Linked DNA regions of Saccharomyces cerevisiae S288C. The protein of the gene in region 1 purifies or fractionates together with the protein of each later gene. This does not show direct contact. Each region holds a gene or a part of one and is shown on either strand. Other genes may lie near its edges.

Region 1 (3,976 bases):
CCGACCAAGAGAAGGAAGAAATCATTTTTTTTGTTGCGAGTTGTCATAGAACGAGGTCGAGAAACAGAAGAGGAATTGAAAATGAATTGTAAAAGCGTTCGTTCTATGCCTCTAATAAGAGAGTACGTCTTGCTTGATGTGAACCCAAATGCCCACAAAACAGTACGATTTGCAGTTATGTAAATTTGTGGTTTGTCTCCTGGCAAAAAGAATGCATTCGTACTGCACATAATTGAAATAAGGATGTAGTTCAACTTCTATGAATGCTCGGCGATACGATATGTAGAGGGGACAAAAATATGTAGGTATCCTATGGTAAATAAATCGGTCTGTTTTAAAACCTGTTTTAGTGCAGCTTCTTTCCACGAAAGAAATAGTGTAAGTTAGAGGTACTTCTCTTTTACCTAAAGGAGGTGTAGTTATGATAAAAAGCGAAGCTAACTAAGACAGCTAAGCTCTTTATGTTGATAGTTAAAAGTTAACAGGTTGTATTAATGAAGAATGAATATGGATCTTTTTGTACTTATATAACAGAGGTATAAACCACATGCCGATTGTTTCATTATTATATATGGCTAATATAATGGTGATTCCGGCAGCTTCATACATTTAATGTGACGACTCATATTGCTCTTATATGTGACTTTCAGATCTCATTCAATTAATAGACTCTTAACTCAAATTCAGTACTTTCTGACATGCTCATTTACATTTCCTTTTGTAATAGTGCTTCCATACTTCATCGTATAGGATTTAAACATTTAGATCGTTACCATAGTAACTCATGTTACTATTAAATACCGCTCGTTTCAACACATTATATAATACTTTGGCATTGATACGCCACATAATATTCTAATTTCTCTTCAACACATAAGACAAACAGGGCAAATCAAGCAACAGGAAGGTATTTGCTTCTTAATGGCAAAACAGGTTCAGTTCCACTAAATAAAAAGGGGAAATTTACGTGTCATTTATTATGGGTTCAGAAATTATGTGTTAAGTAAAACACCTATAGCACTGGGGCAAATTCCGGCATCAATTTCAACGCCACCAAAATTGTGTGCGATAATAATTGTGACCCCATCATGGAAATGAGCCTTCAGCCAGAGACGGAAAAACTCTTGAAAGGAATACTGATGGATTTATAGGTTCGGAAAATAATAATAATAAAAAGCCGTGTTGGACATTATCCCTCCCGTTGCTCGCGGTAAATTCTTAAGGCCATATTTCAGGTAGGAACCATCGTCAACAATTGCTACAACGTTTTGTAGTCCCCAAGATTGAAATACAATAGCAGTTGAAAGAGAACTACCTAAGATAATTCAATGAGGCAATTACTGATTATTCCTGACAGAGTGTAAAATATTTGCAAGTAAGAGAATCGGAACAGAAAATTTAGATATTATGAGAGTCTTCCCTCGGCAGTAACGATATAAAGCCAATCTGTATTCCAGTGTCCTGCCATTCTGGTTCTTTAAAAACTCACTTCCAAGATAGTATAATCCGAGACTCTAAAGAAAAGGACACTTGCTTTTAATGGACAGAGGAACACCGCATACTCTAAAGTAGAGAGCACCGATATCAAGAGTTACATATATATATATATATATATTGTTTGCTTCCGACAGAGATAGCTATCTAGCAATTCCCTTCTTTTTCAATCGTTGGGCGGCTAAAAGTAGCAGGGTTTCGCGAGGACCTCTCGAAGGACAAACAATATTCATTACCCGCACAAATAAAATTTCAAAAAAACAAAAAAGCACGGGAGAGGCAAGGCAGGATGAATAAAATCACCGATCTCGAGAATATTAAAAGTCATCAAGACATCCTCTTTAAGTCAAATCCTGGATCCAGAAACTTAAAAAGTTGTCATATAAAAGTTTAAAATGGTCAAAAGAACAGTCGCCACCAATGGAGACGCGTCTGGCGCTCATAGAGCAAAGAAAATGTCTAAAACTCATGCTTCTCATATCATAAACGCTCAAGAAGACTACAAGCATATGTACTTAAGTGTCCAACCATTGGATATATTTTGCTGGGGTACTGGTTCTATGTGTGAGCTTGGGTTGGGTCCACTAGCCAAAAATAAGGAAGTTAAAAGACCAAGGTTAAACCCATTTTTACCTCGCGATGAGGCCAAGATCATTTCTTTTGCAGTCGGTGGTATGCACACCTTAGCCCTTGATGAAGAAAGCAATGTATGGTCCTGGGGTTGCAATGACGTGGGTGCGTTGGGCAGAGATACTTCCAACGCCAAGGAACAACTCAAGGACATGGACGCCGATGACTCAAGTGATGACGAAGATGGTGATTTGAACGAATTGGAATCTACGCCCGCTAAAATCCCAAGAGAGTCATTTCCTCCCTTAGCGGAGGGACACAAGGTCGTGCAATTGGCAGCTACAGACAATATGAGTTGCGCCCTGTTCAGCAATGGCGAGGTATACGCATGGGGTACTTTCCGTTGCAATGAAGGTATCCTAGGGTTTTACCAAGATAAAATTAAAATTCAAAAAACTCCATGGAAAGTGCCTACATTCTCTAAGTACAATATTGTCCAATTAGCTCCCGGTAAGGATCACATACTTTTCTTAGATGAAGAGGGTATGGTGTTCGCCTGGGGTAACGGTCAGCAAAACCAATTAGGAAGAAAAGTTATGGAAAGGTTCCGTTTAAAGACTTTGGATCCCAGACCATTTGGGTTAAGACATGTAAAATACATCGCATCTGGCGAAAACCATTGCTTTGCTTTAACAAAAGACAACAAGTTAGTAAGCTGGGGGTTGAATCAGTTTGGTCAATGTGGTGTTTCAGAGGATGTGGAAGACGGTGCGCTTGTTACAAAGCCAAAAAGACTAGCGCTACCTGATAACGTTGTTATCAGAAGCATTGCTGCTGGTGAACATCACTCATTGATCCTATCCCAAGATGGCGATTTGTATTCGTGTGGTAGACTAGACATGTTTGAAGTTGGTATCCCAAAAGACAATTTACCCGAATATACTTACAAAGATGTTCATGGAAAAGCACGTGCCGTGCCACTTCCAACTAAGTTGAATAATGTTCCGAAGTTCAAAAGCGTTGCGGCGGGGTCTCACCATTCAGTCGCGGTAGCTCAAAATGGCATTGCCTATTCTTGGGGTTTTGGTGAAACCTACGCCGTTGGATTAGGCCCTTTTGAGGACGACACTGAAGTTCCAACCAGAATCAAGAATACTGCTACACAGGATCATAACATCATTTTAGTCGGGTGTGGAGGCCAATTTTCCGTGTCTGGTGGTGTTAAGCTGTCTGATGAGGACGCAGAAAAGAGAGCGGATGAAATGGATGATTAAGGTAGTAGTACAAAGATAAATAAAAGAAAATCGACATAATGCACCTCAGTATAAATTGTAAAATATAACATAAATCAAAGAAAAACGAGAAAACGATATGATTATCCGATACCGACAAATTCTCATGTTTATTTTTTTTTTTTTTTTTTTTTTTTTTTAATTTTTCTTGGGCCTTTACATTGAGTACAGGGGCATAAGTGCGAGGAGTTACCAGACGACAACTAGCAGGCGGATGAAATCAACACTGAGTAAGTATTATGTAATCCATCCGCTCGTCCAGCCCTTCAGGTTCTTCCTCTTCTGCACGTTTCTCTAGTAATGAACTTTCTAAGGAATTTAATCGGATTTTTTGAGAAAAACGGAGAAAAATTAAAAATGTGCCAAGACACCAGCAACAGGCAAAGCAAAGGATAAACTTCCGGTGAACATGTTAGCACGGAAAAATTCATTGCTCTCTCTAACCGCGACAAATTACCTATCGTATTTTAACTTTCTTCAACAGCATTATGGAAAATGCATACCGGAGATTGCTCATACAGACCATAAAAACAACAGAAAGTCTTGTGAGGAAGATAAGCAAGCACGGTAGGTAAACCAGATATGCACATAAATTACCGCTGACTCTCCCCTAAAAGAAC
Region 2 (3,436 bases), on another chromosome or scaffold:
AAAGCTGTTCTTGTGAGTAATCTTGGTAATAAAGCTGACATTTTTGTCTGTTACCTTTGTCGAGCTAGAATAAAACTGAAAGCACAAAATAGTTTACAACAAAGAAGCTCAAATTTTTTCAGCTTAATCAGTTTCAAAGATAAAAATGACCAAAAATAGGAAAATCTGTAACCAGTTAGCAGCAAAAGGGAGGAAAGCCTGGTCGCGAAAGGATATATTGACTGAGGTCGGATGGGTGCTAAAACAAAATCCTTAAAAATATGAAAAATCAGCTCCAGCGCGGGTTAGTGGGAAACTGACCAATCAATGGGCAGCCTGTCAATTTCAATGCGGGTAACAGGGTTGTCAGTATAATAGACCCAACTTACTGCTTTATGTTTATGTATATGTATATATCAGAGACCTAATCGAGAATAGAGAAGTGCTCACATATTGCATAAATTGAAAAGTCCTCCAGAGGCGAAGTATATAAACTAAATGTTTTAAATGAGAAAAGCAGCTTCTTTTCCTTTCTTCCACGTAGTACTAAATCATGTCGGAAAGCGATAATTGCTTTTCTTCGTCGTCAATATTACTGGATGGCACAACTTCCGTGGCTTTGTTTTCATTTTCTCCAGGATATCGCGATGTTAGCACAAGCGTGATACAAAGTAGTAAGCAGGCGATGAAGAGACCAAATATGAACCAGGAAAAAGCCATACAGACCAGCTGCAACCTGAATTCTTCCGTCGTCAGATCGTGAGGAATATTTTTATCTTGGAATATGGACGCTGCGTCTTCTGGTCGCGAGTTACCCATTAATCCTAGCTTAATGCTGTTGCCGAAGGCTCGTATGGCGGACTTAAAGTAACCCTTCTCGAAAGGGTGATGCTCATCGCACAGTATCATGACTTTAGAATCTTCATTCGTGGACGAATTGTTTATCTTGGAAATAGCGAAGGTCGTAAAAGCCAAAGTCATCAATAAGATCTGTTACGTAGTATTTGAGAGAAGGAGTAAACTAACCTTGAATTGAGGTCTTGATTACAAGTTGCTTGCTTAGTGACACATTTGACAAGAAAAAACAGTAATACGCCAGAACATTTGCGGCCCCTTTTTATATCAAAAGTGCTAAACATGCTATTTAAGTATTTCTTTTGCTGTTGATACGCAATTTTCATTGCGCTGCTGCAGATGTGGTACCCTTTACCGCACAAAAATACTTCTATCTGGATATTATTCCGTGTACTTGGCGAAGAAGCCATCCCGTTTTGAACGCCATTGCCGCTAACCTCCGCGCTTTCGCTTGCAGCAATGGCTACATCCGCACGGTTCCGCTATTGCCACGACATTGTGGTGGTAATAGCCAAGGCAATGGTGTGTACAACTTACGATCCCTCTGCTTGCGGAAGCAGTCAAAAGGCAAGTGAGATCTACTCTATAAACTGACACTTTATCCAGGGAATTATCGAGAAAATTCTGTCTTGTCAATTAGAGAAGTAAGGGGCCACAGGGAAATAATACTTTCGAAGGGAGTTTCTTTCCTTAAGGAGGTGCAAAATGCAAAAGATATACAGTTTATAGGTTGATACACATAGAGCAAGTGGTCTCAAGTGGTCTTAATGAGTCACGGGAGGTCAAGATGCTCTTTTTTTCTTCATCGTTTCAGTTTTGTATCTTGAGCGGAGTGAACTTGCCCTTTAAGCGGGCCATACCCTTACATGGCGTTAGCACTTATTTTCAAGGTGAATATATACAATGTCAGTTACCCGTTTTTTTGTCTTCCGCTGTATAAGCTTGCTATCATTAAAAGCCGCATGTGGCATCCTGAATTCTGCCACCCCTTAAATACAAAAAATAGTGTAAATGGTACTTGATCTCTTCTGGAGGAATAAACAATAATTCTTGATGGAATTTGAGAGAAAGTAAGTGTTCGGCTAAGCACAATAAAGATATAAACCTGTGACTACCTATATAAGTTCGTAATGTCAGCACCTGCTCAAAACAATGCCGAGGTTCCCACTTTCAAGTTAGTTCTTGTTGGTGATGGAGGTACTGGTAAGACTACCTTTGTGAAGAGACATCTGACCGGTGAATTTGAAAAAAAATACATTGCAACTATCGGAGTAGAAGTTCATCCTCTATCTTTTTATACTAATTTCGGTGAAATTAAGTTCGATGTCTGGGATACCGCAGGCCAAGAAAAATTTGGCGGGTTAAGGGATGGTTATTACATCAATGCTCAATGTGCAATTATTATGTTCGATGTCACATCCAGAATCACTTACAAGAACGTCCCTAATTGGCATAGAGACTTAGTCCGTGTGTGTGAAAATATTCCCATAGTGCTATGTGGCAATAAAGTCGATGTCAAAGAGAGAAAGGTCAAGGCCAAGACTATCACTTTCCATAGAAAAAAGAACTTACAATATTATGACATTTCTGCAAAATCCAATTATAATTTTGAAAAGCCTTTCTTGTGGTTGGCTAGAAAACTTGCCGGTAACCCACAATTGGAGTTTGTTGCGTCTCCTGCATTGGCCCCACCTGAGGTGCAAGTTGACGAGCAACTAATGCACCAATACCAGCAAGAAATGGACCAAGCCACTGCTTTACCATTACCTGATGAAGACGATGCTGATTTATAAAAACATGAAAATTTATATACGAAAATATTCTGCTTCTTCTCACATCAATCTAAAAATTTTTTTTTGAAATTTCTTTTATTTTTAATATATAGTTCTGAAAGTCTATTTTTAAAGAATTAGTTCTTCTCTGTTTAATTGCCACATTGTAATTTTTTTTTGGTATGTTGAAGTTTAACCTGTACATTTCTTTTCTTTTAAATTGAATCAAAGACCAATAAACGGGATCCGATCACAATATGATCGTCCAATAACGCTCCCTCTTGCACTTCACTTACTACTTTATAAACCTAATTTTTATTTTTTACTAGATTCCTTTTTTCTTCCTGCTGGCGCTTTTTTTTTTTTGCCCGTCCAAAAGTTTTCAATGAAAAGTAATCCTCTTGAAAAGAGATACTTCTTTCGATTACAATAATGTTCTTATTCATATACAAATAGAATATCAGAAGATCGGAAACGAGTTAAGATAAAATATAAGAAGAGGAAAGTATTCCCAATTATGTTTTCATTTAATTGGTAGACGCGACAAAAAAAAGTATAATATATTGGGAGAGATAGTTCAGTCTCACCCACATTCTCTTTGCCCTGTGCCTCGCTCGGTTGTTAATTGCCAATATTACGATCTTGAGCTGGATGACAAAAAAATAAAAATACATTTTATTTTTTTGATCAACGGGCTAAAACAATTAGACTTCTTTGAGTACGAGGATATCGCTATTTTTATCTCACGGTATCGTATTGTAATTAGAACGTCTCATATCATATCGTATAATTCGGCCTTTATTTCAAGAAAAAGAAGAGAAGTTATTCTT

What was found.
Region 2: the proteins of SRM1 (region 1) and GSP2 purify together in Saccharomyces cerevisiae (affinity purification with mass spectrometry; 2 studies listed by BioGRID). This does not show direct contact.

Annotation. Positions count from the first base shown.
Region 1 is NC_001139.9:319,893-323,868, forward strand, and holds SRM1 (Ran guanyl-nucleotide exchange factor), read left to right. Parts: upstream 1-1,889; coding exon 1,890-3,338; downstream 3,339-3,976. UniProt on the Saccharomyces cerevisiae protein: Guanine nucleotide exchange factor that promotes the exchange of GSP1/GSP2-bound GDP by GTP and controls RNA metabolism and transport. Involved in yeast pheromone response pathway and in mRNA metabolism.
Region 2 is NC_001147.6:680,635-684,070, reverse strand, and holds GSP2 (Ran GTPase GSP2), read left to right. Parts: upstream 1-1,964; coding exon 1,965-2,627; downstream 2,628-3,436. Other genes in the region: TUF1 (translation elongation factor Tu), read right to left, coding at 1-41; YOR186W (uncharacterized protein), read right to left, coding at 526-960. UniProt on the Saccharomyces cerevisiae protein: GTP-binding protein involved in nucleocytoplasmic transport. Required for the import of protein into the nucleus and also for RNA export. Not essential for cell viability.